Linked DNA regions of Tamandua tetradactyla. The protein of the gene in region 1 binds, or shares a complex with, the protein of each later gene. Links are inferred from orthologs where the notes say so. Each region holds a gene or a part of one and is shown on either strand. Other genes may lie near its edges. The genes, in order: GINS4 and MCM5.

Evidence for each region.
Region 2: GINS4 (region 1) and MCM5 share a complex: the UniProt entries of both Homo sapiens proteins name them as parts of the CMG helicase complex. The link is inferred for Tamandua tetradactyla from reciprocal best matches to the Homo sapiens genes GINS4 and MCM5.

Annotation. Positions count from the first base shown.
Region 1 is NC_135329.1:17,013,846-17,029,955, forward strand, and holds the start of GINS4 (DNA replication complex GINS protein SLD5), read left to right. Parts: upstream 1-9,939; 5' UTR 9,940-10,169; intron 10,170-10,823; 5' UTR 10,824-10,842; coding exon 10,843-10,935; intron 10,936-16,110. UniProt on the Homo sapiens protein: Required for correct functioning of the GINS complex, a complex that plays an essential role in the initiation of DNA replication, and progression of DNA replication forks.
Region 2 is NC_135333.1:27,757,669-27,773,506, reverse strand, and holds the start of MCM5 (DNA replication licensing factor MCM5), read right to left. Parts: upstream 6,697-15,838; 5' UTR 6,545-6,696; intron 6,301-6,544; 5' UTR 6,293-6,300; coding exon 6,126-6,292; intron 5,819-6,125; exon of another isoform or gene 5,082-5,818; intron 4,457-5,081; coding exon 4,330-4,456; intron 4,237-4,329; coding exon 4,108-4,236; intron 2,307-4,107; coding exon 2,134-2,306; intron 588-2,133; coding exon 432-587; intron 1-431. Other genes in the region: HMOX1 (heme oxygenase 1), read right to left, coding at 11,447-11,577, 13,272-13,371, 14,698-15,189. UniProt on the Homo sapiens protein: Acts as a component of the MCM2-7 complex (MCM complex) which is the replicative helicase essential for 'once per cell cycle' DNA replication initiation and elongation in eukaryotic cells.

The DNA.
Region 1 (16,110 bases):
TTTTTTTTTTTTTTTTATAACTCAGATGCAGCTTCATTCAGTGTTTTAACATGATTACTTTACAATTAGGTATTATTGTGCTGTCCGTTTTTGAGTTTTTGTATCTAGTCCTGCTGCGCAGTCTGTATCCCATCAGCTCCAATTACCCATTATCTTACCCTGTTTCTAACTCCTACTGAACTCTGTTACCAATGACATATTCCAAGTTTATTCTCGAATGTCAATTCACATCATTGGGACCATACAGTATTTGTCTTTTAGTTTTTGGCTAGACTCACTCAGCATAATGTTCTCTAGGTCCATCCATGTTATTACATGCTTCATAAGTTTATCCTGTCTTAAAGCTGCATAATATTCCATCGTATGTATATACCACAGTTTGTTTAGCCACTCGTCTGTTGATGGACATTTTAGCTGTTTCCATCTCTTTGCAATTGTAAATAACGCTGCTATAAACATTGGTGTGCAAATGTCCGTTTGAGTTTTTGCCCTTAATTCCTTTGAGTAGATTCCCAGCAATGGTATTGCTGGGTCGTATGGCAATTCTATATTCAGCTTTTTGAGGAACCGCCAAACTGCCTTCCACAGTGGTTGCACCATTTGACATTCCCACCAACAGTGGATAAGTGTGCCTCTTTCACCGCATCCTCTCCAGCACTTGTCATTTTCTGTTTTGTTGATAATGGCCATTCTGGTGGGTGTGAGATGATATCTCCTTGTGGTTTTGATTTGCATTTCTCTAATGGCCAGGGACATTGAGCATCTCTTCATGTGCCTTTTGGCTATTTGTATTTCCTCCTTTGAGAGGTGTCTATTCAAGTCTTTTTCCCATTTTGTAATTGGGTTGGCTGTCTTTTTGTTGTTGAGTTGAACAATCTCTTTATAAATTCTGGATACTAGACCTTTATCTGATATGTCATTTCCAAATATTGTTTCCCATTATGTAGGCTGTCTTTCTACTTTCTTGATGAAGTTCTTTGATGCACAAAAGTGTTTAATTTTGAGGAGTTCCCATTTATTTATTTCCTTCTTCAGTGCTCTTGCTTTAGGTTTAAGGTCCATAAAACTGCCTCCAATTGTAAGATTCATAAGATATCTCCCTACATATTCCTCTAACTGTTTTATGGTCTTAGACCTAATGTTTAGATCTTTGATCCATTTTGAGTTAACTTTTGTGTAGGGTGTGAGATATGGGTCTTCTTTCATTCTTTTGCATATGGATATCCAGTTCTCTAGGCACCATTTATTGAAGAGACTGTTCTGTCCCAAGTGAGTTGGCTTGACTGCCTTATCAAAGATCAAATGTCCATAGATGAGAGGGTCTATATCTGAGCACTCTATTCGATTCCATTGGTCGACATATCTATCTTTATGCCAATACCATGCTGTTTTGACCACTGTGGCTTCATAATACGCCTTAAAGTCCGGCATCGCTAGACCTCCAGCTTCGTTTTTTTTCCTTAAGATGTTTTTAGCAATTCGGGGCACCCTGCCCTTCCAGATAAATTTGCTTATTGGTTTTTCTATTTCTGAAAAATAAGTTGTTGGGATTTTGATTGGTATTGCATTGAATCTGTAAATCAATTTAGGTAGGATTGACACCTTAACTATATTTAGTCTTCCAATCCATGAACACGGTATGCCCTTCCATCTATTTAGGTCTTCTGTGATTTCTTTTAGCAGTTTTTTGTAGTTTTCTTTATATAGGTTTTTTGTTTCTTTGGTTAAATTTATTCCTAGGTATTTTATTCTTTTAGTTGCAATTGTAAATGGGATTCGTTTCTTGATTTCCCCCTCCGCTTGTTCATTGTTAGTGTATAGAAATGCTACAGATTTTTGAATGTTGATCTTGTAACCTGCTACTTTGCTGTACTCATTTATTAGCTCTAGTAGTTTTGTTGTGGATTTTTCCAGGTTTTCGACGTATAGTATCATATCGTCTGCAAACAGTGATAGTTTTACTTCTTCCTTTCCAATTTTGATGCCTTGTATTTCTTTTTCTTGTCTAATTGCTCTGGCTAGAACCTCCAACACAATGTTGAATAATAGTGGTGATAGTGGACATCCTTGTCTTGTTCCTGATCTTAGGGGGAAAGTTTTCAATTTTTCCCCATTGAGGATGATATTAGCTGTGGGTTTTTCATATATTCCCTCTATCATTTTAAGGAAGTTCCCTTGTATTCCTATCTTTTGAAGTGTTTTCAACAGGAAAGGATGTTGAATCTTGTCAAATGCCTTCTCTGCATCAATTGAGATGATCATGTGATTTTTCTGCTTTGCTTTGTTGATATGGTGTATTACATTAATTGATTTTCTTATGTTGAACCATCCTTGCATACCTGGGATGAATCCTACTTGGTCATGATGTATAATTCTTTTAATGTGTTGTTGGATACGATTTGCTAGAATTTTATTGAGGATTTTTGCATCTATATTCATTAGAGAGATTGGCCTGTAGTTTTCTTTTTTTGTAATATCTTTGCCTGGTTTTGGTATGAGGGTGATGTTGGCTTCATAGAATGAATTAGGTAGTTTTCCCTCCGCTTTGATTTTTTTGAAGAGTTTGAGGAGAATTGGTACTAATTCTTTCTGGAATGTTTGATAGAATTCACATGTGAAGCCATCTGGTCCTGGACTTTTCTTTTCAGGAAGCCTTTGAATGACTTATTCAATTTCTTTACTTGTGATTGGTTTGTTGAAGTCATCTATGTCTTCCTGAGTCAAAGTTGGTTGTTCATGTCTTTCCAGGAACCCCTCCATTTCCTCTAAATTGTTGTATTTATTAGCGTAAAGTTGTTCATAGTATCCTGTTATTACCTCCTTTATTTCTGTAAGGTCAGTAGTTATGTCTCCTCTTCCATTTCTGATCTTATTTATTTGCATCCTCTCTCTTCTTCTTTTTGTCAATCTTGCTAAGGGCCCATCAATCTTATTGATTTTCTCATAGAACCAACTTACGGCCGTATTGATTTTCTCTATTGTTTTCATGTTTTCAAGTTCATTTATTTCTGCTCTAATCTTTGTTATTTCTTTCCTTTTGCTTGCTTTGGGATTAGTTTGCTGTTCTTTCTCCAGTTCTTCCAAGTGAACAGTTAATTCCTGCATATCTGCCTTTTCTTCTTTTCTGATAAAGGCATTTAGGGCAATAAATTTCCCTCTTAGCACTGCCTTTGCTGCATCCCATAAGTTTTGATATGTTGTGTTTTCATTTTCATTCGCCTCGAGGTATTTGCTAATTTCTCTAGCAATTTCTTCTTTGACCCACTCGTTGTTTAAGAGTGTGTTGTTGAGCCTCCACGTATTTGTGAATTTTCTGGCACTCCGCCTATTATTGATTTCCAACTTCATTCCTTTATGATCCGAGAAAGTGTTGTGTATGATTTTAGACTGAATTCTTAATGTTAGATGACTTATTAATTCCCATCATTTTCAAATTCCTAAAAAAAAATTATTGTGAAAACAAAAACTTGTATTTGTCAATATAAATTATCAAATCATAAAAATTCTGCACACCAGTTAATATCTTCAGTGTCACGAGGTGCTTTGACAGTATAGATAAAATACCCACCACCCTGGGATATCACTCAGGGCCCCAGTGTCAGTTTCCTTTAAGCCTTCATCCCTATTTGTCCCTTTGGTTTTGTTAATTGTCCAGAGGCACTAGTCTCCGGGCTCTGCTAGTTTTAATTACACCCAAAAAACATGAGAAATAGCGCTTTATTCTGCATACAAGTATGTGAGTGGGGCTCTAAAATAAATAAATAAAACTTCCAACCTAGACACAGTATACAGGCCAGGGTAAAGTTCAGGGTCAAACTGAATTTCTCACTTAAAGTAAACATGTCTAAGATAATGCAAAGAGAAGGTGACAGGAGAACTTTGTAATTTCATTTTTCCACAAACAGGGAATGTCCGACAGAATTTCAGCCCTCACAGAGCTTTATGGGTCACATCCAAATCTTACTGGTTCAAATAAGTTAGCAACTCAAAGAATGGCAGCTGCTCACAGCAAGATCAGCTAGAATAGATCAAATGACCCAAGGCTTCTGGTTTCAAAAAATACCAACTCTGGGGTATAATTAACACAATTTCATGACAAAATTTCAGCTCATATTATTTTCATAGCTGAGCTGAACATAACATAAACTGAAAAAAGCTAATATTTTCTCTTACTTTGGGGTACCTGTAAGGTAGGATTCTTACATTATTTGTTTTGAGCTAATTTCATAGTAAAATATTCAGTTAATGGTATACGTCAAGAAACATAATTAATCACCCCATAGTCTTACCTTCTCATAAATAGGGGGTGAATTTTGAACTCAGTTAATTAAGATGCTTCCATTTACCAGTGAGAAACCTGTAAGAATTGTTTAAATGAAGAAACCTAGACATGAAATCAGTATGTTTTTAAGATATCACAAATTTAAAATTTCACAAATTCCTATTTCAAGCCAGGTCTTTTATTCCTTATACTTTAAGTGTTGACACTTCAGGAGAGTTATAATTTTAGATGTTCTATGTAAAAATGAAAATAATAATGGCAATAATTGCAATATAATTACATCTCTATAATTCTAATTAGAAAATTAGGAACGTGGGGAAATTTTTAAATAAATCAAATGAATGTTGTTTTAGTTTGCTAGCTGTCAGAATGCAATATCCCAGAAATGGAACTGCTTTTAAAAAGGCGGAATTTAATAAGTTGCAAGTTAACAGTTTTTAGGCCGTGGAAATGTCCCAGTTAAAGCAAGTCTATAGAAATGTCCACTCTAAGGCAGCCAGGAAAAGATACCTTGGTTCAAGAAGGCCGATGACATTCAGGGTTTCTCTCGCAGCTGGAAAGGCACATGGTGAACACGGTCAGGGTTTTTCTCTTGGCTGGAACGGCACATGGTGAACACGGTGTCATCCGCTAGCTTCCTCTACAGCTCCCCCAGGAGGTGTTTTCCTTTTTCATCTCCAAAAGTCACTGGCTGGTAGACTCTCTGCTTCGTGGTTCTGCAGCGTCCTCTGTTGCAGCTTTCTCGTGGCGCTCTCATTCTTCTCTGCTCTCTCTGAATCTCCTGCTTTCTCCAAAACATTTCCTCTTTTATAGGATTCCAGTAAAGTAATCAAGACCCACCTGGACCCACCTAATCCAGTTTAACACCCAGTATTGAGTGAATCACGTCTCCATGGAGATAATCTAATTAAAGTCTCCAACATACAGTATTGAATAGGGATTAGAAGAAATGGCTGCCTTTACAAAATGGGATTAGGATTAAAAAATGGCTTTTCTAGGGTATATACATCCTTTCAAACTGGCACAGATATGAATTGTATTCTAAGGGTTGCCCCCACAGGGAAATACTATTTCAATAAACTTTAGTCTAAAATAGGATGACCCATTCCATTAGTTATATGAAATTCTCAAAATAGTGTCCATGTAATACTTTTAAAGACACTAAAATTAATAAAGGTGGAAAAATAAATTTTGTTACAGGGTACATTCTTGAGCAAGGCTACACTTTCGTGCTTGAAAAAATTCAAAACTTTTCCTATGACTACATTTTAGAAAAGAGCATTACCCTAAGCTGTAAGCATTTAGAAATACTGAGTTTGGTCAGGTTTATCTTTGGAACTAAGGACAATTCTCCAAAATAAAGTGTATGGACTCTAATAAGCATGAAGACATGCCGGCACTTAGACAAATGAGCCTTTTACGGCCATGACGTAAAGGCAAATGAATTTCTTGATGGAAATGTCACATTTCTCTTTGACCCCAATCCAGAAACTTAGAAAAGATTATTTTACTCAATCTGCTAACTATGTTGGCAACAGTATATCGATGATAAAATAAAAGAGAGAGAAAATTCATGATCATTGTATATTCTGCAAGGAGCAAATGACAGTATAGTTTTTTGTATTGCTTCCTCACAGGGTGTCACGTTAGCTGTCTTGGGACTTATTCATTCTTTTAGCAAACTATGATCAATGTCACCTCCTCAGGGAAAGCTGCCCCAAACATCTTTAGAACCATATTCTAAAATGTCCCCATCCTCAACATTCTCTATCATTTACTGGATTTGTTTTTCTACATCGCGTTTTACCTCCATTTGACAAACAATTGTTATTTGTTTATTGTCTGTCTTCCATCCCAGGGTGTGTGTTTCCCATTCACTGCTTTATCCTTAGCTCCAACACAATGTCTGGCAAAGCAGATCCTCAAAAGCATTTGTTGAATGAAGAAATGAATGAATGAATGAATGAAAGAATGATGAGCACTCCGCAAGTTTGGGGGTTACCTTCAGGGAATTCACAGTCTAATGTGAGAAAGACATGTTAAAATTGCAATAGAGCATAATAAATGTTTTATCAGAATCTTATAAGGTATAATGGTGACCAAAGGTGGGGGAAGATGTGTTAGGGATGGTTTTCGGAGGAAGAGATACTTTAAATGGGTCTTAAAGGATGAATAAGAGTGCACTGGGTAGATAAATGGAAAGAAAAAAATTCAGAAGGAGGAAACAACAGGTATAAAGAAAGGAGGCAAAATACCTCATATCTTTAAGTAGTTCAACATGACTGAAGCAAAGAGAATGCAAGGGAAAAAAAGAGAGAGAGAGTGCAAGGATGGAAGTCCCAAACTAAAAGAAAATTAACAGCACTAACTTCTCAGCAAGAGGACTAAAACCATACCAGCACCTCAGTATCCTCCCTACTTCTCGCAAGAATATTGTGCCAATGTGAAACTATTTTGTATCCAAGTTCCAATACTGATCCAATCTTGTGGGGCCAGACCTACCGTTTACGGTATGATCTGTTGCTTTGATTACTTCCATAGACATGTGACACACCCAATTGTGGGTGTAGCTTTTTGACTAGATGGAGATGTGACTCCACCCATTCAAGCTGGGTCTTGATTAGTTTACGAGAGCCCTTTAAAAGGGGAAACATTTTGGAGAAAGCTCAGATACAGATGCTTGGAGAAGAGGTGCTTCAGAGCTGACAGAAACACGGATGTTTGGAGATCCTTGGAGTGCCGACAGCGAGAGCAGATGCTGAGACATGGGCAGAGCCCAGCAGATGTCATCATGTGCCTTCAAGAGGTGCCAAGCAAGCCAGAACCTAGAAAGAGTCACGGGAAGCCAAAAGATGAAACCTAGCCCCAGAGAAGCCAAGTGAGGAAACCCACAGGAACAGTCGGAAAGCAAAAGAGCCCAGGAGCAAGGCATCAGCAGATGTCAGCACGTGACTTCCCAGCTCACAGCTGTTCTGGACAGCATTAGCCTTTCTCGAGTGAAGGTAACCGCTTGTTGATGCCTTAATTTGGATATTTTCATTGCCTTAGAATTGTAAACTTGTAACATAATAAATTCTCTTTATTTCTTTTCTGGTATATTGCATTCTGGCAGCTTTCACAAACCAATACAAATATGTACTCTATCCTCCAGCAGAATTCTTTGGAACTAATCAGAATTAAAGAAGCAGAGGCCAGACTCTAGCTCCCTAATAGAAGAGCAGGAGGAGATTAGAAAAGTCAGGTTAGCACTAGAGAAGGAAGTCCCTAAATCAGTAAACTATTGGTACTTCCGTGTAGAAGTTATCTGTGCCAGAGTAAATATGAGAATACTTGGCCTCAAATCTATAACACTTAAAGAATATTAATAAAAAAACACTGAATAACTATGTGGTAATGATAATTATGGAAGAATGGAATTGTGCACAGTAATCTAATGCTGCAAAACAAACCACCCCAACATTTAATGCAAATATTTGTTTTTACTCACAAATCAGTAGTCTGGGCAGGGTTCGGCAGGGACAGCTCATCTCTGCTTCTCTCCATGTTAGCCCTGGTAGCTCTAGGTCTGAGAACCATCTGAAAGCTCATTCACTGAGACAACCGGGGAATGGAAACACTGGGGCTGCTGAGCTCTTCTCTGTCTCGCTGTGGCCTCTCTACATGCTCTTTCCAGCATGGGAGCTTCAGGGTAGCCAGACTTCTCACATGTCAGCTCACGGCTCTCAAGGGACATGGTTCAAGAAAAGGAGAGCAGGGTGGAAGTTGTATCACCCTTATGAGAGTGCCTTAGTACTCAAGCAGTATCACTCCTGCCACATTCTCTTGGTCAAGGCAATTACAAAGGTCTTCCCAGATATAAGAGGAAAAAAAGATGGACTTCACCTTCTAATGGAGGAGTGTCAACATCACATTGTAAGAGGACCACATGGGATGAGATATATCTTAGGGCAGCTCTCTATGGAAAATGCAATCTGACACAACTAAAACGTGCTGGATTACCAAAGTAGAGTTTAAACGAACCTTGAAAAGTCTATTTGTCATTAACAAAACTCGTTCTTCAAGATGTGGCCCAAATACCCCTTTCTTTTGGGAATTTCCCTTGGTAAATATGCCCACTCTTTCACTTGGAATATTCTATGTAATTATTGTTTATAAAAGGACTGTAATCAGGTGGGTTCTAGCAACCTGTCAATTGGTCAACTTTTTTCCCTAATAAATCAGTATGGCACATGAATCATCACAAAGAAAAGAAGCTTCAGACTGATGGGGAAGAAATATTTATAGAGAATCCAGAGTGATACTTTACACAGAAAACAAAGGAGAGCATCAGCAATTCAGAGACCAAAAAGCTGACATCTCACAAAGAAAAAATACCTATATCGATATCCTTATGTCCTTGTTGTTCCCCCTGCAGTAAGAGCAGAAATTATAAGCAGCCTAAGTCAAAATAACCTAGAGAATTAAGCAAACACCTGATGTAGTAGCAAGGCTGGAAGCAAATTGCCTAAAGCAGTGGTTCTCAAACTTCACCTGCATCATGATCACCTGAAGAGTTTGTTAAAATAGTGTGTTGTGTCCTATTCCCAGAGCTTCTGATTGAGTAGGTCTGGGTGGGCTTGAGAACTTGTATTTCTAGTAAATTCCCAGAATACGTTGTTGCTTGAAGTGTGGGAACACACTTTGGGAACCAGTAGTCTAAAGGTTTTTAGAGGAGCTGGGGTTAAGAGGGGCCAGCCTCTCCAGAACATCAACTAGTTCCATCCCCCTACCCCATATTATTGACAGCCCTTTCCAACATTTAAAAGTTAGCATGGGCACAGTCTAAATACCCCTGAAAACAGGGAGAAAGATCAAAGGTGATGGTGGAGTTATACAGAGAAGATAGGATTTAGCAAATGAGTATGACTGTGGAGTCATTATATTGATATTTCTTTTAGTTTCCAGTGTCTCGGAGTAGCTAGAAAGAAAAACCTAAAATTGTGGAACTATAAACCATACCAAACTCTGAAATCTGTTTTATATCTAATTGTGGCAGTGTGTTTTGAGATTTATTGCTTTTTTGTACATATGTTATTTTTCACACACACACAAAATTTTTCTCATAAAAAAAAAAGGAGAGGGCAGTGCGACAGTGGCTCAGTGGCAGAATTCTCACCTGCCATGCCGGAGACGCGGGCTCGATTCCCGGCGCCTGCCCATGCCAAAAAAAAAAAAAAAAAAAAGAAGAAGAACTGGGATTAATGGTCGTAGCTGAAGCCCTACAAGAGAGGTCAGTGGAAAAGATGAAACAAGAGGCTATGGCCTAAAACTAGCACAACACACTTCTCCATCGGACCCACTGCTGGTCCAAGGTATATGCAGACGCTTGCTCCCTGGTGGCCCGAAGGCAGACAGCGCCGCATCTCGGAAGAGCGGTGGCAAGGCGCCCCCTCCCGACAGCCCTCGTACTGTACCGCAGGAACCGCACACGGAACAGCAGCCCAGGTGGGCGGAGCTAACGCCGAACCAGCCTCCCATCGCCCTTATTCGGAGTGGGAAGATTCTGAGAGTGAACTGCGCATACGCAAGACCCGCCCCTTTATATTGGGCGGGGTCAAGAACGCTGCCTGTCCCTTCTCCCGAACTCTGATTGGTTTAGCGCCTTCCGTACGCGGTGACGTTGTACCTGCCCGGAGTGTTTTCGAGACGTGCGCGGGAGCCGAAAACCCGGGAGAGTTGCTACGTCCCGGAAAGGCCTCGTGCGCGTTGCTCAGCTGTGGTTCCGTTCCCAGATTCTGTGTGGAAGAACCTGGGCTGCCTCCCCGCGATTTCCCGTTCTGACCGCTCGCTACTTTGGAGTGCCTATCTGCCGCCCAGTCCGCGACTGCGTGTCCGAGTGGGCCCTGAGGTACTGCGCGAGCTGCGTGCGTAGGGGGAAGTGCTGCTCTGGGTTCTCCGCAGCGAGAGGGGCGGGACGGGAGGAGTAGGCCCTCAGTTTCCCTGAGAATCCCCGCGGCTCCCCCCCCGCCGCGCACCACACAGCTTTCTCAAGCCTTTGGGGTCAGTGACTGGTCGGCGCCCCTGGGCCTGGCGAAAATCGAGCATTGATTTATTCCCCAACGATTTTAAGTACTTGCCATGAACTAAACTCCGTACCTGCACGCGTTGTTGTCTCCCACAACTTATAAGTGCCAGGCAGTGAGCACAAGCGCAGTTCATATTTGACCTGAGGTAAGCACAGCCCTTGATGACAAGGAGATCTATCGGGAAGACCAAACAAAACAATAATTATTTTATGGTGTGATAGGTGCTCAGTTCCAGGTATACACAGCGGGAACAGATACGAGGGGCTACCTCTTTGAGAAACTTATTCTCTGACCTAAGCTTTGAAGGAAGAGGCAAAGAATTGAAAAATCCAAGTCTGTGAATTCTCTAGCCACTACTGTTGAATCTCTGCAATCCCTTGTAACCCTTTCCCTTCTCCAGATACAGTTGCACTGTATGGTAAATAAATGGAAAACACATTGCGCACACAATGTGTTGGTTCGTTTATGTTCGTTAGGTTCCTGGTTTCAGTGAAAATGACAGAGGAACTGGATCTCATGGGACAGGATTCTGATGGTAGTGAGGAAGTCGTCCTAACTCCTGCAGAACTCATTGAAAGGCTGGAGCAGGTAAGCATTCCAAATAAAATCCCCTTGCTTCAATCTTAGCCTTTTTAGTTAGTCTAACTATACTAATTACAGACTTAGAAAGTAAAGAAATAGAATTCAAGACTTACTTTATTTCAGAAGAATAAAAGCTGGATCTTACCTCTACACAGAAATAGAGGAATATCCTCTATTAGAAATCCCATAATGTCAAATGCAGAGTTATCCAGTGGAGTCAGTAAGGGACAGCTTTGGGCACATTTAATAGAACAGTGCAGAGAACAAGAATGTATTTCATATTTTGGGAGGACTGCAGACATGTTGTGGTAGAGACTTGTAGGCTCCCCTATCTTAATCCTTTGAAGCATTTACTGGATTAGCAAGAAAGTGTCAAAACACCTTTTTTTAAGAAGGAAACTGGTCTTACTCTTCATTTTCATTCGAAGTATCTTCTTGAGTCAACTGTTCTCTTTATTTACACTAAATTGTCTAAAAGTCTGTTTCAATTTGCTAAAGCTGCCTGAGTGCAATATACCAGAAATGGATTGGCTTTTATAAAAGGGATTTATTAAGTTACAAGTTACAATTCTAAGGCTATGAAAATATCCAAATTAAGACACCAATAAGAGGATACCTTCACACAAGAAAGGTCAATCAAGTCTGGGATTTCTCTGTCACATGGGAAGGCACATGGCAATGTCCTTCTCTTTGGGCTTCTGGTTTCAAACAGCTCTCTCACCATCTCCCAGCATCTGTAGTTGAGCTTTCTCCAAAATGTTCTCTTAAAGGACTCTAGTAAGCTAATTAAAAACCCACCTTATGGGGGTCACATCTCCATGGAAATAATCTAACCAAAAGATCCTGCCCATAATAAGTCTGCACCCACAAGATTAGATTAAAGGAGCATGGCTTTTATGGAGTACGCAACAGTTCCAAACCAGCACAAAGTCCTAAAGTAATTTCTAGACTATCGTTTTAGTCATAATTGTGGTTTGTTGGGTACATCCTGTGTTCTTTCTAGGAATTGCATTATGTTCTTTACAATTCATCAGGCAGGCATTTTTAGAGTTCAGGGTCTGGATTTAAATACCTCTATGTCTTTGACCTATTATTTAACCTTAAACAAGTTATATAGCTTGTCTCAAGCCTTTCCTTGACTGTAAAATGGATGTAATAATAGCAGCTACTTCACGTAGTTAGGAAGATTAAATAAGATAAAGTAAATGAGATATGTAAAGTGCCTAGCTTGTTGTCTGGCTATAATAAGCACTCATTAAACGTTAGCTATTAGTAGTAATAACCCTCAAAACAACCCTGTCAGGCAGGTATTACTGTTACCCCATTTTAAAGTTGAGGAAACTAAAGCTTAGAGATGTAAAGTAACCTGCCTAAGGTCACACAGCTGGCAGCCGAGCCAAGATAGGAGCTCAGGTCTCTTTGACTCCAAAACATGGTGTTAAGCCATTATACCTATTGCCTTATTCCCTCTTTTCTTCTCCCTTTAACTGCCCTTTTCCAGAGCTCTTTCGTGTTTGTTACTTTAGTATTCTTCATTCTTTGCTGCTGTGTTAGTTTGTAAGCTACCAGAATGCAATATACCAGAAACGGGACAGCTTTTAAAAGGGGGAATTTTTTTTATTAAGTTGCAGGTTTACAGTTCTGAGGCCGTGAAAATGCTCAAATTAAGGCATCCCGAGAAAGATACCGTTCAAGTTTACAAGCTGCCAGAATGCGATATACCAGAAACAAAACAGTTTTTAAAAAGGGGAATTTATTAAGTTGCAAGTTAGCAGTTCTAAGGCAGTGGAAATGTCCAAATTAAGGCAAGTCTGTGTAAATGTCCAATCTAAGGCATCCAGAGAAAGACACCTTGGTTCAAGAATGCTGATGATGTTCAGGGTTTCTCTCTCAGTTGGAAAGGCACATGGAAAAACATGGTGACATCTGCTAACTTTCTCTCCAGGTTTTTTGTTTCATGAAGCTCCCCCAGGGGCATTTTTCTTCGTCTCCAAAAGTCTCTAGGTATGTGGGCTCTAATGCTTTTCCCAAAATGTTTCCCTCTTAAATGGCTCCAATAAGCAACCCCACCTTGAATGGGTGGGAACACAGTCCATGGAAACCATCTAATCAGAAGTTACCACCCACAGTTGGGTGGGTGATATTGCCATGGAAACGATCAAAAAGCTCCCACCTGGCAATATTGAATGAGGATTAAAGAACTTGGCTTTTCTGGGGTACACAGCAGATTCAGAGTGGCACAGATAACTTGATGATGTTCTGGGTTTTTCTCTCAGCTGGGGAAGCACATGGCAATGTCTACTAGCTTTCTCTCCAGGCTTCTTCAACAGCTTCCCCAGGGATGTTTTCTTCATGCATCTCCAGAGGTCTCTGAGTGTGGGCTCTGGTGGCTCTTTCCAAAATGGTTCCCTCTTAAAGGGCTCTAATAAGCAACCCCACCTTGAATGGTTGAAGACATATCTCCATGAAAACCATCTAATCAAAAGTTCCACCCAGCAATATTGAATGAGGATTAAAGGACATGGCTTTTCTGAAGTACACAACAGATTCAAATTGGTACGCCTACCGTACATGTCATTATGAGTGACAAAACCCAAGAATATTAATTTAAAAATTATATCTTGTATGATAATCTTTACAGTGATTTGTAATCTGTTATTATGTGTGCTGGTTTGAAAGGATATATGTCCCCTAGAAAAGCCATGTTTTAATCAAAATCCCATTTCATAAAGGCAGAATAATCCCTATTCAATACTGTATGTTTGAAACTATAATCAGATCATCTCCCTGGAGGTATGATTTAATCAAGAGTGGTTGTTAAACTGGATTAGGTAAAGACGTGTCTCCACCCATTTGGGTGGGTCTTGATAAGTTTCTGGAGTCCTATAAAAGAGGAAACATTTTGGAGAATGAAGGAGATTCTGAAAGAGCAGAGAATCCTGTCACACTACAAAGCAGAGTCCACAGCCAGTGACCTTTGGAGATGAAGGAGGAAAGCGCCTCCTCCTGGGGAGCTTCATGAAACAGGAAGCCAGGAGAGGAAGCTAACAGATGATGCTGTGCTCGCCATGTGCCCTTCCAGCTGAGAGAGAAACTGTGACTGTGTTCGCCCTGTGCCTTCTCACTAGAAAGAGAAACCCTGAACTTCATCGGCCTTCTTGAACCAAGGTATCTTTCCCTGGATGGATCCCTTTGATTGGACATTTCCATAGACTTGTTTTAATTGGGACATTTCCTCGACCTTAGAACTGTAAATTAGCAACTTATTAATTTCCTTTTAAAAAGCCATTCCGTTTCTGGTATGTTGCATTCCAGCAGCTAGCAAGCTAGAATATTATACTACAGACCTCTTTGAGAATCCAATGAAAATTCTGGCCCCTTTTTTCAGAGTGATGTACATATGCATTATTTCTGTAAGAAATAAGAAAAGTATGGAGCATGAAGGAAAAAATCTCATTTAACTACATTAAAATTAAGAACTTCAGTTTATTAAAAGACACCTTGCTGAGAGTAAAAAAGACAACAAAACTAGAAAACATTTGTGATATATCTGACAAAATACTAATATTCACAATACATAAGCAATCCTTACAGACAAACTGCTAGAATAATGAAGTCATAACAGGCACCTCCCAGAAGAAAAAACCAGGATGGCCAGTAAGAATATGAAAAAGATGTTCAACCTTTTTACTAATCAGGGAAATTAAAGTCAAAATCAGTAAGGTAGCATTTCATACCCATCAGATTGGCAGAACTGAAAAAAGATGAACAACATAAAGCATTGGCAGAGGTGTAGAATAATTTGAACTCTTATATTATCTGCAAAGGGGGTGTGACTTGATACAGTCATCTTGGAAAATAATGAAGATACACATACCTCGTAGCCTAGAAATTCCACTCCCAGGTATTGGAGTAGTGGAGGTAGTGGGAATCTAAAAATTCTACTCTAGAGAAAACTTCCACATGAATTCCAGAAAACATGCACAGAATGTTGATAATGTTGCTTGTAATAGTTAAAAATTGAAAATAACCCAGATATCCATCTAAAATATAATAGATTAAAATATATATATATATGGTATATATATATTTAATGAGGGAAGAACAGCAGAGAAAAGGAGTAAACGATAGCTCCTGCACTATCATGGTGACTCTCAAGAACATAATGTAGAAAAAAACACAGGTTGCCAAAGAAACCATTTATATAAAGTTCAAAAATTTGTTTAAGGCTGAGCATCCCACCCATGTAATGTGGCACATTGGTGTCCTGCCAGTGCCTCACGATGTTCACCTCTCAGTACTCTGGACATCCAGAGCCCCATGTTAGTTGCCTCTTCCAGGGAGTCATCAGAGACCCCTCTGATGACTCAGACTAGCAGTGGGTGAGCTTCAGTTTCAGTGAGTGCCAGGTGCTCTGTGGGAATGCCCTGTGCAGCCAAGGAGATGATCTGCCACCTGGACAGCTTCTGCAGCCAGATAGAGGTCTTAGGCTGCGTGGCACAGCGTAGGTAAAATCTGATGGAGACACTGGATAAGGCCACAGCTCTATGCACATATATAGGATACTCTTGAGTGCCTTTTTAAAACATGATTTAAAAGTTATTAGCTATAGTGCAGAGTTTCTTGTTTTAATGAAGAACAGATCATCCTTTAAAAATTATCATAATTTGACAGTATGGATGAGCATTCCCCTAAATGTGGTCTGCTATGCAACTGTACTATACAAACACCGTCATTTTCTTTCAGTGTCCTGACATGAAAAAATTGGGAGGCACTATGTAGAGACACAAACAAATGTAGTGAAACTGTAAAGAAAATTAAACACTAAATTCAGGCTAATGATTATCTTTGAGGTGGCAGGAATGCACAGGGACTTTTATTTTTTTTAACTGTGAAAGATAACATATACAAAAAAAACCAATAAATTTCAAAGCACACTGCAACAATTAGTTATAGGACAGATTTCATAATTTATGGGTTACAGTTCCACAATTTTTGGTTTTTTCTTCTAGCTGTTCCAAGACACTGGAGACAAAGAAATACCAACATAATGATTCAGTAGTCATACTCATTTGTTAAATCCTGTCTTCTCTGTTATAACTCCAGCTTCTCCTGTGAGCTTTCACCCAGTCTTTAGGGGTATTTGGGCTATACCCATTCTAACTTTTTCGTGTTGGAAAG
Region 2 (15,838 bases), on another chromosome or scaffold:
GCTGGAAATAGGCTTTTCCAGTAGCTGATTTTCTAGCTTTGCCGCCCTGGGCATGTTAGAACATTTTTCTGAACCTCTCAGTTCTAAGAGGGCTGGGGAGATGCTCCTAGGAAGAATATGGGCTTTGGAAAGCAACAGATGTAGGTTCAAAGCCCAGCTCCTCCATTAAGCTAGTTAACTTCCAAAGTTACATTTCCTTTTCTGTAAAATGGGGGCTGCCATGCCCTACCCAAGTCATGGGGAAAATCAGAAATGAAACCTAAAAGAAGTGGTAAGCCCAGAGCAACTGCCCTGCAGCCACCATCTTCTTCCCTTTGTCCCCTGCCCACTCACCATGCTCCAGACAATGCACACGATCCATGCCCAGCACCTGCTGTAAGGTGCAGGGACATGCAACACTTGATGCCCACTTCCAAGCCCTTGCACCTCACCTGTCGCAATAGAGTTGCATGTGTCTGGGCATCTCGCCATGGGGCACCGCATCAGGCAATTCCTGGAGCTTCAGGGTCTGGAAGTCCACACACTTGCATTTGTCAGGCATGATGAAGTAGGGGTCCAGTGGGCACTTGGGGCGACCAGCCTGATCTCTGCATGAAGAGGAGAGGGGCAGGAGCTGGTCACCAGAGGTACCCCAAGAGCTGGGGCTCATCCATCCCATGAGTCACAAGGCGAGACCAGCAGCAATGTGAGTTATCACCAGAAGGTGTTAGGAACAGGCCAAAAGTGAGGCCAAGAACCAATTAGGAATCTAAGAACTGACTGAGGCCCGCCTCTCCAGTTAGTTTGCCAGGCAATGGAAGGCAAGTCACTACCCAGTTCCCTCACAGACCTTTGTGCTCCAGGAGCTAGATTGTCAACAACCTTAGCAACCCCCGACTCAAATCCCAAGAACTCTTCCAATGAGATTCTAGGCAGCTCTACTTCTCTGTACCATTCTGCTCAAAACTCAACATTATAGCAAAATCAACTAGCAAACATCAAAGCAAAGCACCTGCCACATGCCAGGCACTGTGCTAGATGCAGGGGCACAGCCATGAACAAAAACTCCCTGCCTAAAGATATTGGAGAAATGTGCTTTGAAAAGGAAGGGGCCCAAACCAAAGAATACCGGGAACCACTAGAAAGTGAACTGCCTGGAAACGGATTCTCCCTTTGGAGCCTCCAGAAGGAAGCAGCCCTGCAGTACACTGACTTTAATCCGGTGAAATGGATTTTGGACTTCTGATCTCCAGAACCAAAAAATAAAAAATTCAGGTTGTTTTAAGGCACTAAAAATAAATTTTTAAAAATAATTAAAAAGTAAAAAAAATGTCTCTGCTTGTATGGAGCTTAAAGTCTAATCAGTGGAGACAAACAAACAAACCAGCAAACAGCTACATAACGTAACAAGTAGCGCAAGGTGTGTGAAAAGAAGTAGGCACATGAGAGGAAGAGCGGCCAGGTATGCGTGTGCCAAATGTAAAACAAAAAGCGCAAGGGGAGACACCTCCAATGAGGTGACAGTTGAGAAGAAACCTGAAGGAAGTCAGAACAGAGTGTGTGGAAGGCTGAAAGAGTGTTCTGGGCAGAGGAAATGGCAAGTTCTAAAAAGGTCCCAAGATGGGGTAACCTTAGTGTTTCTGGACAGCAAGACGCAGCTTCCTGGGGCGGGTAGAGGGGGATGAGAAGGGAGGAAGTGCCAGAGGGAACTGGGAGCAGGCCGCAGCAGGACTTCACTCTGAGTGAGCTGGGAACCGAATGAATTGCTTACATTTCAAAAGAGTCACGCAGGCTGCTGGGTGGAGAGGTGACTGGGGGACAAGGGTGGGCGTGAGGGGCTCAGGAGAGGCTCCTACATAGATCCAGGTGACAAGAGATGGGGAAATAGTATAGAACATGCCAAAGGTAGGGAAGAAATGGTCTGAATGCATACTTCAAGGCAGAGACCAAAGGATTTCCTGATGGTTCAGATATAAAATGGAGAAATATTATGACACCAAAAATTGGGGCCTGTACCCCTGGAAAGATGGCACTTCCATTTATTGAGAAAGGCTAATCCTATCTGCCCAGCCCTCCCCAGGGGTCTTTAATAAGCAGCTACACACCAAGCCCTGAGACCCTCCTGGCCTTGCAGGCTATAGGTGACCCACTTACGTGTTACACTTCCGGGGCAGGGCGTAGCCCTCCAGGCCGGGGCGCATGGCGATGTTGGTGATGGTGTTGCGGCAGCTGCGGCACTGGATGGAGATACGGGTGGCCTTGGCACGGACCGCAGAGGCTGCGATGATGATACCAGGGATCTTCACCAGGTGTGACATCAGGTCGGACTGCAACAGGACCACAGAGGGGTGTTGGTTAAAGGGAGCTGGGGGAGACCTGAAATGTGTTGGGAAATGTCCAGGGTGAGGAACGGGGGAGATAGGCATGGAGCTGGGGGAGGAGGGGTGGGGAGGACAGCTATTCTGTTCAGCAGAAAAACAGTTTTCAAGGCATCCATCCACAGCCAAGCTGCAATGGACGTGCAGGAGCGTCAGGCGTGGCAAAAAACAAAACAAAACTTTTTTTCATTGTATAATAACATAAATACAAAGCAAAGAAAGAAAAAAGCAGTAATTTTCAAAGTACATGTCAACAAGCAGTTATAGAACAGATCCTAGAATTTGTCATGGGCTACCATTTCATCCTCTCAGATTTTCCCTTCTAGCTGTTACCAAACACTGGAAGCTGGAAGGAATATTAATATAGTGATTCAGCAGCCACACTTGTTTGTTAAATCCCATTTTCTCTGTTATATCTCTTCCTTCTCCTTTAATCCCTTTCCCAATCTATAGGGATCTTTGGGGAATGCCCTTCTGATTTTTTCATGCTGAGAAGGGATGTCAACACTAAAGGATAGGGGGATGTGATTAACTGATAATCTTGGAGAGGCTGGACCCTCTGGGTTTCAGGATCTATCTGACCTATGAACCCTCTGGGAATTATATGTTCCAGGAAGGCAAACCTAGCGCATGAAACCTTTATAGATTCTCAATTTGAGCCCTAGGTGCTCTTAAGAGTCAACAGGAGTGGATACTGATAGCTGTTTAACAAACCATGGCAATTAACACTATCCTGCTGAAGCTTACTAAAAGCAGCCTCCAGAACAGACTATTGACTTCATTTGATTTTTCTTGGTCCCTGACGCCTTATTACACTTACCCCCCTGGCCACACCCCCCTTTTCAGTCAGGAAGGCGCTGTCGATCGCATCCCACAGTGCCAGAGCCAGACTCATTCCCAGGAGTCATGCCCCACATTGTCGGGGAGTCTTTCACCCCTGAATGGCTTGTACAGTGTAGTGGAAGAGAGCAACAATCCTCCTTGCAGAGTTTGGCCCCTGCTTTTAAGGATCTCACAGCACAATGCAGGGAGGTAGCACATTTCGCTACAAAGGGGCAGATGTCATGAGGACCAAATTCAAGCTCCAATGGTAGCGTTCCATGACCCACACAGTACTAGAGAGTACTAGCCTTGGAGGCAGGGGACCCACGTTCCAGTTCAAGCTCTGCCAAAATCTGCTTAGAGACTCGGGACAAGTCACTTCTATCTAAATTTGCCCATCTTATGACCATTCTTACTCCAAATAAGGCAGTAATGTTAATTTTTAAGTGTGAAAATGACTCTTTTTTTTTCTAGATAGGCACACCAAAAGTTTCAGATGAAATTACACAATTCATGGAAGTTGCTTCAAAACAGTCCCAAGACTGGCTATCAGTTGCTAATTACTGAACTGGGTGATAAGTATGTAGGGATTCTTTAGGCTAGTCTCTAAACATATTAATGTTTGAAAAGTTAAACAAACTCCCAGCCAACCTACTATTTTCCCACTGAATATTAATTCTTTGAGGTCAAGAGTTCGTCAGTTTAGTTCATCATGTTTCTCTAGGACCTGAGTCAAAGTTTTACCCCCTGAAGAAGCTCAGAAAACTTCTGTCCAATGAGTTGCTTTTTACAAAGAAGCAAACAGGCTCAGAAAGGTTGTGACTTGCTCAGGGTCACAAAGCTGCACCCAATACAGCCTGTATGTGAAGCCCCTCTCCGCCATGCAGCAGCTGCCATCAGCCTTGGACCGGCCTCAAGGCAGACCCACCTTGAGGCTGCGAATACTGGATGGGCTGGCATCTGACTTCAGCATGACCTGGATGTCCTGGAGCACCTCCTCTCCAGTGGGCCGGGGCCGGGTCACTTCATCGGCTACCTCCTTGGCAGCTTCCTCTAGCTGGAGAGAAGACAGGGGACAGGTGGTTAGTGGCTGGAGGCAGGGCAAGTTTCAGTGGTGGGGGGAAGCGCTCAGGGATGGAGACCTACTCACCAGTTGTAAGTGCTCAGCTGGCTGCTTATACAGGTAGTCGGCCAGGTCCTCATCAAAGCTTGCCAGATCCTCCATCTCCACCTCAATCCAGTATTCCCCAAGGTTGTAATGCCGTTTGAGTTCATCCCTGGAGTGGGTAGGTGGGCAAGGTCGGTGGAGTGGGGTGGGGATAGAAACAGAGAGAAGACCAAGACTGGCTGAGGTACACCTGTGCACCAGAATCTCCCCACATTGTAGCCATTGACACACTACTCCTCTTTCCAAACTCACATCTCATTCCAGGTCATTCTATTATTTAATCCTACAAAGGCTCCCAATGCCAACAGGAGTGTTTCTCCAAAGAAATTCCAAGTAATCAGTTCACGAGCAACTGGAAGGTATTAACAGACGTGCAAAGAAAGGGTTCTGTGCACACACAGGTCAGTTTGGGAAACACTCGCTGCAAACCAGTTCTTTCACTGAAGGACTCCTCAGAGCCTTTAACTCACTCCCGGAGACTAACAACACACACTCCTCAAACTGGGAAGATCTGACCCAGCAGGGACCTAGTCTGTTTTGTCAACTGCCAAAGTCCTTATACAACACCCCACTGGAGGTATTCTAAGAACACATTTTGGAGACCACTGATCTAGTAACAGCCTGTTCCCAGTCTCATCTCAGGTCCCTTTCCTCTTTCACTATGTCTAGGGGCCACTGTGAGTCCCCTACCAAAACAGGCCACCCCATTCCTCTGCCCAGGAAACTGCTCCTACTTGGAATGCTTTCCACACCTGAAACTCTTCCTTCTGCCAAAAGTCAACTCAACGTTCAGGTCCTCTAGAAGCCTCCCTTAACTCTTCTGCCTTCTACATTTCTCCTTTGATGTAATTATTACCTCACTGGTCTCTAGGCCTCGCCTTACTGATTTATGAGCTTCACAAGGGCAATTACCATTTTTGGATCTCAGGGTCTAGCACACAGCAGGTAATCAAAGTCACCTTTGTAAGTCACCTTACAAAGTCACCTGAATAAATGGAAGAAAGAATGAGCATATCTACTTTACAGAAAACTGAAGCCTAGCAAGATTATCACTCAGAAAAGTTACTCAGCTAATAACTAGTCAGGTCCAGTCTTGAGCCTGACTTTAACAAATATATGTTCTCTGTATTTTAAGGTCTCAAGGAAAGGAGCAGAGCCTACAACGGTTTGACATGCCCCAGGTTTGTAAAAAGAACCAAGGAGCAGGGACTTTGCCCATCTTGCTCTGAGCTGTATAGCCTGGCATCTGGGACAGTATCTGACATGCAGCAGATGCTCAGTCAATATAAGCTGCAAGACTGAATAAATGAATGAAGTGACTCATTTCTACTGCCCTCACCTTTCACACCTATAGAGAACTTGAGTTTACCACAGGATATCACAGATATCATCTAGAAAGACAGTAAAAGCATATGAACAGTGAACAACACCAGGATAAAGAACCAAGGGCCATCTCTGTCCACCTGGCTCCAGCTGGCTTGTTGTTGGTTCACTCAACATGTGACTTACTCAAAAGTTAACCCCATGCAAAACTGTACGCCATGGGGATGGGGGGGGGAGGGAACAGTGAGTGGGAAAAGCACCTGCTGGACCCCAAATCCCCAAGAACCAGGACAGGCCCCTTCACATGCTTCCTTCACGTTTCCCCACCTGGGCTCTACGACACTAAAAGAGTCTGAATGAAAAGATGTGGCCAAACATGGCCCGTTATCCCAGCTCCAGGAACAGAGTGATTTGCAGGTGCGCCTTTCCTCCAGCCACCCCTCCAGCCCCCACACCTGTATTTGAAGGTGAATCCGGTACGGTCGGTGCCCACTCGGTACTGCCGCAGGAACTCCTTGAAGCGCCTCTGCAGCTGCGACTTGCGGGCCTGCCCCTCATCGGCCCCAGGGTCCCCCCCGAAACTGTCGCTGTAGAAAATGCCAGGGTCGTCGAAGCCCGACATGACTGCACCTGGCGCGGGAACAGAGAGTCAGAGCAGGGTGGGGGACCGCGCGCCTGTGTCCTCGCCTTCGAATGAGGGGCAGGGGGCTCCCGGCTTCAAGTCGGGGTATCGGGTGTGACCCTGGCTCTCCCACGCCAGCCCGGGGTCCCACCCCAGTGTTCCCAGGAAAAACCCTTGCCACACTCCACTGCACCCCCAAATGAAATGTCAACACACCCGCCGTGGGCTGGCTCCCACGACCCTCGATCTCACCTCTCCCACCCGGAGCTCCACAGACCCAGAGAAACCAAAAGCCCCACACTCGGCCGCCGAGTTTCGCGGGAAAACCGAGATAGCGCGTCCGGAGACCGAGACTGCTGCGCCCCGATTGGTTGGCCGAGTCCCCACGGCCGGCGATTGGGCCGTTTTGTACCCGCGTGATCGAATCCGGAATCTCCCCAGCCGGGCCTTCCGAGCCGGCTGCCGAAGCGGATTGGCTGCGGGGCTGCATGACGTCAGACGTCGTCTCCTTCCGGGCTCCATTTTGTGTACAGGACAATTTGGCGCGAAACTTCTGAGTGGGAAGAAACCAGCGGCTGCCCAGGCCCGAGGCGGGGCGGGCACGAAGATGGCGGAAGGACCGGTACTCGCGTAGAGGGACGGAGAGGGACGGAGAGGGGTGGAGAGGGGCGGAGAGGGGTGGAGATCCGCAGATATCCGCGGATAGCGGGAGCGCTGACGGTTTTCTTTTGTAGTTTCCTTAAGCCAGTTTAAAAGTCTGGTGGGAAAATGATCCTTTTCAGAGCCGTGGGGTGCAAGAGCTAAGAGTTAAGAAATTATCGGCTCCATTTGCCCCGTTTTGTAACAGGACAAAAGGGCCCTGAGAGGTGAACACTTGCGGATGTGTGATCCAGTCCGCTGGTTCTGAGGAGCCCACTATTCCATAGCTAGTGGAGGGGAGAGGCAGGATTCGAATACAGGTCACCTGCATTCCTGCTCCGTGTTCTTTCCATGTTAACACATGGCCTCCAGGGTTTAAAGTTAGTTAGAAATAAGTCGCCTTTGGTCTTAAAGCCTCTGGGATCAAGATCGTCACAAACTTCTGATTTGAGGGATGTTTTGTTTGACTCAATTGGTGATTTTTTAAAAAAAATTGTTTTTATTTATTTGGCAATGTCAAAAAGTGGAGAAAATTCACAACCAGCTTTCTAACCTAACTTGAAAATTGGAATATTTGACAAAAAGGGGGCCTGCCTTCTAAAATAGCAACGTAAGCTGGAGCTAGGTGATTCCTTATCGGTTAGATGAGCATCAGCTCCCCGCCCCCCCCATTCACCAGGGTTGCCACTCAGCTTAAGTCTCCTGTTAAGGGCTCCTGCCTGGTCCCACGTGAATTGTGACCCTTCCTCTGTTTCAACTCCCTCATTGTACAGATGGGGAAATCAAGGCACAGAGGGGCAAATTGAAAGTGGCAAAGTGAATTGGTGTACAAATCCAAAATTAGAACCCCTTTCTCCCATCTTCTTGCTCCTGTATTTCCCAGTGCCCCATCCAAAGCGTTACAGACTGATGAGCCGTAGCAAACCTTCAAGGAAACTTTATGTCTTCTTCCTCTAGAAGAGGCTGACACACTGCCCTGCCCCATCCTGGGGTGACTCATGTCGATTGCTGACCAACAGAAGAAAAAATCAAATCCGAAGATGGGAGAGGAAGTGTGAATTAGACTGTCAACCCAGTCTTGCCATCTTATGTCTTCTTTGTGGGGTTGATTTGTCCTGCCCCTTTATCAGAAAGGGTGAATACGCATGCCTCTGTGCAGCCGTGCTAAAGAGTGTGCTTCAAGATACATTAGAAACTCAGAGGCACAGTCTCTGTGTCCCCAAGATTTGGAGAACTTATTTAGAGAGCTGCCCCCAGCCTGGATGCTGTTAGGTTTGGCCTCCTGCCTAATCTGGTGTCATTGGGAATCCACTTAACTGAATAATGCTCTTTGGGGCTAGCTGCCTGGAAATCCATATGAATTAGATATGCGCTTTTCACCCCCACCAGCCCCTCCCACAACCAGTTTATTGTGTTACGTTTTAAAAAGAGCTTTTTTAATGACTGAAGCTAAAAAATGTTTAAGAGCTTTTTTAATGACTGCAGCTACACATGCTCTTGTGTCAGTCTGCCACTTCCTAATTAAGTGACCTTACACAAATTACTTTGACCTTTCAGTGCTCCTGTTTCCTCATCTGTAAAAGGGAAATAGTGACAGTGAATTAGGACGCCTGACGCAGAGTGGCTGCTTGCTGTTAGATATTCTTATTAAAAAGAAATGCGTAATCTCCCCCACGCCTTTGCATTCCCACTGCCTCATCATGAACACCTGGAAAGGGCCTTCCACTCCCTTGCCAAGTTCATACAAGCATGTATTTACATGTATGGGGACTGTTTTAATTAAAAATGTCAAATCTAGAACTTGTTTTCTCGTGAATACTTCATGGATATCCCTCTGCATCAATAGATGGATTTAACTCAGTCTTTTAAATAGCCATGTAATTTTTCATAGTATGGATAGACCACAAATGATTCAGCCCTACTCTTGTTAGAACTCAAAAAGTTTTTTTTTTCCTCTTTTCTTTCTTCATTCCCACTACAAACAATAAATACTTAGGCCCCTTTTACAGGCGAAGAAACCTGGCCAGGAGGCAACAGCTGTAGCTGCCATTTGACTACCTAACCCTTATATGCGTAATCTCATTAAGACCGGCTTCTGGGCGTGCTTACAAATTGGAATCTCCCAGGGAGTTCGTCATAAATAAATTCCAGAGTTCCATGCCACATCTCCAGAATCAGAACTCTCAAGGTTGGGGCCCTGGATTCCACAAGATTCTGATGCCTTGGGGTGATTCTGCTGCCACCATCCACAGACTGGGTCCTCCCCCCAGCTGTGGGAAGTGGGTACCCATTTTACCACTGAAGAAAATGAAACTCGGAGTGACTTGTCCAAGACCCCCCAGGCTTAATAACAAAGCCAGGACAAGGGACTAAAGTGTCCTGGCTCCCAGTCCTCATGTACTGGTTGTACGAGGATCTTGTCCCCTGCTCTGTCCAGACGCCTTTGGTCAAGGATTTTCCCTTTCACTAAGAGGCTGTATATTTAGCATTTCAGTGGCTTTTCCAGTACAGGGCAGTGAAAAGGTCTTGCTTGGGTTTTAGAGCTGGAAGACCTGGTTTAAAGTCACGTGTCCCTGAGGTAATGGTAACACCCACCTCACAGGTTTGCGGGGAGGATTAAATGAGATGACATTTGTTAGGTATCATTTAATATTGACAATGACTATTTATAGGTGAGGTTACTCACACAGTGAATGACAGTCTTGCCAACAATCACTTGTAAAGTGTTACAAAACATTGGTGTCCCTCCCTTCACAACAGGAACTAAAGTCCCATAGTGTTGGCACATCACGTGCATCTCATTTGCTTCTCTTGACAGGCCAATGAGATGGTATCACTGTATTCACATTACAGGTGATAAAATTGGGTCCCAGTGGTTGTTCTGGAGGCTACTGTTATGCAAGCTTCAATTTGATAGTACTAATTGCCATGGTTTGCTAAACGCCAACCAACATCACTCCTGTTGACTTTTAAGAACACCTAGGGCTCAAACTGAGACTCTATAAAGGTTTCATGCACTAGGTTTGCCTTCCTGGAACATATAATTCCCAGATGGCTCATAGGTCAGATAGATCTTGAAACTCAGAGGAACCAGCCTCTCCAGGATTATCAATCACATCCCCCTATCCTTTAGTGTTGACACACCTTCTCAACATGAGAAAGTCAGAACAGGCATTCCCCAAAGATCCCTATAGATTGGGAGAAGGATTAAAGGAGAAGAAGGAGGTATAACAGAGAAAATGGGATTTAACAAATGAGTATGGGGTGGTTCAGTGGTAGAATGCTCGCCTTCCATACAGGAGACTCAGGTTCAATTCTTGGATTATCACCACCACCCCACCACCCCCCAAAAAAGAGTATGGTTGTTGGATCATTATATTAATATTCCTCTTAACCCCTAGTGTTTTGGAGCAGCTAAAAGGAAAAATCTGAGATGATGGAATGGCAGCTCATAACAAACTCTCGGATCTGTTAACTACTAGTTGAAGTACGCTTTGAAAATTTTCTTTCTTTGCTTTGTATATATGTTATATTATACAATAAAAAAAAATTGAGCCCCAGAGAGGTTTAGTGATTAAGCTCAAAGGTGTAGATACAAAGAGGAGTAGCAGGATTCGAACCAGGAGACTCAACCCAGACCCTAAGAATATATAAATGTTACGCAGCATCTGATCATCTTACCCTAACAGGGCAGCCCCATCCTCGGTGAATGTAAGTCTTGCATTAAACAGTGTTCAACACAATCATTCACCCACCAAGTGTTTAAAGCTCACTCCCATATTTTCAGAAAACAGCACAATATTTGCTCCTGCCACCCCCCCACACACACAAGAGCACCCCCTCTCCCCACGAGGCAGTCAAGAAGAAGTGAGGAAAAGGTCAGTTCCCCAAGGGAAGCAGAGACCAAGAAAAACATCTTGAGTTACTATCAGCCAATGTAGTTTATTGTTTCATACACAAGTTAGAGACCAAGGCCACAGTGCTATTAAAATACCTCCCTTCCCAACCCTGCTATAAAAACATAATAGAACATAACAGAACACAATGAAATATCACAGTTCAGGCTGAGCTGGGAATAAAAGTGGCTCCGACAAAAACAAGAAACACAAGACACAACATCTTTGCACATTTATATAAAAATTGCCATGGCCCCAGGAGAAAGCAATCATGGCTGTATCAATAGAAGACCACGAACCCAGGGCATTTGGAGGTTCAGGACAGTTGCTACTTCAGGCTACATCTTCTGGGATCTGCTGCATGAACTGGGGATGCCGAGGTCTGGGCTGGGTCCTTTGTCCCACTTTGAAAGTTCAGGTCATTGAGCTGGAATTGCTTTTGGTTGGGGAAGATGCCACAGGGCTCCTTCCTCCTTTCCAGAGATAGAGAGATGCAGGAAGAGGGCAGGGGGCCCTAGGAAAGTCCCCATGCCCAAAGTAGAGAAGCCAGCCTCTTCTCTTGGGAGAGGGCCCTCCACTGGGCAAAGTTCATGGCTCGCAGGAGTCAGCAGGCCTACACTTACATGGCATAAAGCCCCACGGCAACCGTTGCCACTAGAAAGCTGAATGTAAGGACCCATGGGATGAGCGGAGCCCGGGAGAGAATGTTGGGCTGGGGCTTCCCTCTGGGAGTCTCCGTGGAAGTGGAATCTGAAAGAGAAAGCAGGGACAGTGTCAACCATAGGCAGGTGGGGATCAGGGTGCCTAACGTCCCAGAAAAGCAAAGCAGAGGGGCCTCATCTGTCTCTTGTACAATCCCTGCTTGATGCCAGAATGCTCCCAGAACAGGTGGATGGAGAGCTTACTACTTCTCCAAGCATCCATGATTCCATCTGCAGCCAGACTACACTGTGAGAAAGTTCGTGCACCCCAGTCATGTTTTCAGATCTCTGTTAGGAAGGCCCTCTCCTAAAGCTTCCATGATGATTAGGTCTGAGCTGTCACTCCTCGTCTCAGATTCTTACACATGTGGGAGGAATGGTGGTGATGGGCAGAAGCTACCCGAGGCAGGAGCCAGAAGGGGGGCACCTCTGAGGCCAAAATTCAAATTCAGTCCCAGTCCCAATCATTTACACATGACAGGCCGGAGCCAGCCTGGGTGGGCCGTCTGCACCAACTGATGCACAGAATGAGTGTTCTCTAGTCTTTAGGAGCAGGACAGGGTTCGAGAGCAGGCCCTCCGGCTAGGCCACTTGGGTTTGCATCCTAGTTCCACCCTGAGCACTGAGAGGAGAAGGTAAGGTAAAATTCCATGACAGGTGCTTCCTTGCAGAAAGGAAGGATTTGGGGCTCGGGTTTACAGGCATGACAGCCACAAGCAAGCAGACTCACTTCAGCATTGTTACATTCCTTTTGATGCATCTGGGCGGCAGTTCTCAAATTTTCTGGTCTCAAAACCCCTTCACACCCGTAAAAGTTACTGAGGATCCCAAAGAGTAGATTATAGCTATCTAATTTTTAAAGTTAACCACTTTAAAAATTAAAACCAGGAAGTTTTTGACACACATGAATACACTGGCACATGTGTCATTAGCTATCAGTGACTATCATCACACATCATATAAACTTTGGAAAAATCCACTGCACACTGATGAGAAAATGAGAGTAAAAAAGGCAAAAAACATTTTGGTGCCATTATAAAAATACCTTTGACCTCATGAGGCCCCTGAAAGGGTCTCTGGAACCTCCAGGGGTACCCAGACCACACTTTGAGAACCACTGCCTCACCTCCCCAGGACTGGCCACATTCCAACCCTCCTGGGGACAATCTTTTCAATAGCAGGGTCCCTGGGGTCCTGGTGCAGGTGGGAAAGCCACAGGCCAAGTAGTCAGGACAGATGCACCAGGGGGGATACCTCAAAGCAACTTGCCAAGGAGGCAGCTCTGAGGCTACCTGCGGCAAGGCCCGGAGCATAAGTATCTTGTCTAGTGTCCCATGGCAGGTTAACAGCTGCAGGCAGCGCCCCGACTCCCTGCCTCATATCAAGCAGGTGCTCAGGGAGCACTAAAGGGCCTAGAAAGGGGACTAAATGAAGGTGGGAGCTTCACCCAGGATTTCCAAGGGTCCCTGGTATACAAGTCCTCACTTCAGAGCCAGTGAACTCTCTGCAACTAGCATATCTTCCCGAAACCTTTGAGTTAGAGAAACAGGTGTGGAAAGGTGACACAGCTTATTCAGAGTCACACACTGGAATCAGACTGACTCTGTGCTCTTTCTCCTGCACCCCGCTTCTCATTTAAAAACATTCAAGACAGAAGAGCAAAGGAGATACCAGGGACAGACAGCTGGGCCGTGTCCCCTCCAACAGGGGCCCTGAGGAAACAACCATCCCTGGTGGCCTCACCTTGCACCCTGCTGCCTTCCCTTCTGTAAAGCCCTGTTGCCTTTGGGGGAATCTGTTCCTTGGCTTCCAGGGTCAACAGCTCCTGCAACTCTTCAAACAACTGAAAGACAAAAGACACACATGATCGTCTCAGCAACAGATGCTGCTAGGCCCCCACTGAAGGTAAGACTTTATGATGTTTTATGATGAGATATTTTGGACATAAAATCTTCAGAAAAATACTGAATATCCATGTACCTTTCACCAGGCTTAAGAGATCAGGTGGATTCCCTGCTTACTCATCTTCTCACCATGCTCCCCTCACCTCCAATACTCCACCCAGCCCTCCAGTAATAACTATGCTGCATTTAGAATTCCCCAGCCTCATTCATGCCTTTACCCCATGTCCCAATACAATGGATAAGTCGTTTCCTAGTATATGGATTCTTAAGCAGACTGCTCTCTTCACTCAACTTTCTATTTCTAAGAATCATCCTTGGCAAGATGTGTTTAATGGCATTTATTGGCCTGGGTTTGCAGATGAGAAAACTGCAGTTCCACAGGGTTAAGTGCCCTAACCAAGACTAGCCAGGATGTCTCATTTCAAAGTCAGCCTCAAAAGGGGCTCTGAGTTCAAATAATCAGTTCATTCTACTACTTCTCTCTGAAAGACGCAGGTTTTCACAGAGGATGGCCTGGATTAACTTTTAGGAGGATGCTAGAGAGGGACAGTCTCCCCTAGCAGGCACCTGGTCCAGTCTCTTCTGTGATCTAAAGCTGGGGAATGGAGAGCAAGGAGGGTAGGAGCTAGGACTTCAATCCCCATGGCGCCTCCTGCAGTGGGGAGAGCGCAGGATTCTGAAACATCTGGGATGGAAGACACCCAACCCCATGTGCTGCCCAAGAACTCATCCTCCAAGGCCTTGCTCAGTCCCCACCTTCTCCCTGGATTTGAGCACTTGTGGGAAGATGTCTCTGTCTTCCTGGCTGGGCTGCGAGTCTCTAGAAGGCAGAGACCACATCTGTAACACCTGTAACCCCTGCAGTGCCTACTTGGCTATGCACAAGTGCACAAACAACTTATGTGCGGTTGTATGGGTGTATCGTATCATTCTCATGACACATAAGAATGGCAGCCAATGCCTGAGGGCTGACTCTGTGCCAGGCACTGTTCTGGTAACTTTATCGATACAAACTCACTTAACCCTCACACTCTAAGGGGTAGCTATTATTATTATTCCTGTTTTACAGATGGGGAAACTGAGGCTCAGCGAGATTGAGGGGTTTGCCCGAGATCACCTAACTAGACAGTGGCAGCACCGGAACCCTGGCCCCAGAATCCCTGCACCTAACCATAACCCACAGCATCCTTGCCTACAGTAAGAGCAGCCTCCCCTGAATGAGTGGCTGGGGAGGAGGCGGCTGTCCTGGGCTGCCAGACCCTTACCCGAATGTTGAGCAGGAACGCGGTCTTGGCCTCTTTGATCACCCTCTGCCTGACCTCAGGGGTCATTTCCAGGGAATTCATCCGGGAGCGGTAGAGCTGCTTGAACTTGGTGGCGCTGTCGATGTGGGGGAAGGTGAAGAAAGCCAGGCCCTCGCCAGAGCTGGGCAAGTCCAGGGCCTTCTGAGCAATCTTCTTGAGGACCTGGCCCCCCGACAGGTCGCCCAGGTAGCGGGTGTAGGCATGGGCCACCAGCAGCTCGGGCTCCGTGCGCCCCACTTCGTGGAGCCGCCTCACGTAGCGCTGTGTGGCCTGCGTACACGGGATGGCCTCCTGCCAGCGGGGCCCATACCAGAAGGCCATGTCCTGCTCGAGGGCAGCCTTGCGGTGCAGCTCTTCAGGGAAGTAGAGGGGTGCGTAGACTGGGTTCTCCTTGTTGTGCTCAATCTCCTCCTCCAGGGCTGTGTAGATGTGGTACAGGGAGGCCATCACCAGCTGGAACCAGAGCAACAAGTCAGGCCTCCCAGCCATGGCAGGAGAAGGTGCCAACAAAGATGAGACACCCCCCCCCTCCCCAGCCACCCACTGCTGCTGCCTTCAGAGAGGCTCTTATCACCTCCCCCAGCCTGGGCTCCCCACCACCTGCCAGCCCCCCTCCAATCCTCCCCACGGTGCAGCCAAGCAGATTGTGCAAAAGAGAACATTTTGATTGGGTACTTTCTCAGACGAAAACCCTTTTATCCACTGTGTAAAACCTGAGACCTAAACTTAATCCTTATAAAAATCCAACAAAGTAAAAAAAAAATCCAACAAAGAAGCTGCTATCTCCTCTTTACAGAAAGGAAAGCAAGGCTCAGAGAGGTGATGAGTCTTCGAGGCCACACATATAGTAAGAAATAACTTGGAGTCAAGCCCAGATGTTGCATGGGAGCCATCATGGTTTGGGAGCAAGAAATGCGACCATCTGGGCTTTCACCTTTGACTTCTGAGGGACCTGCCATCTGCAAAGCATGATTCTCTTTCCAGGAGGTCCATCCTGACTCTGACCACCACTGGATGCCAGCCCAGGAGACATATCCCAGGCACTTGGCTGGGGAACCTCCCATTACACATTAATAGCTCTAGTTTGAGTTTGAAGGAAGAC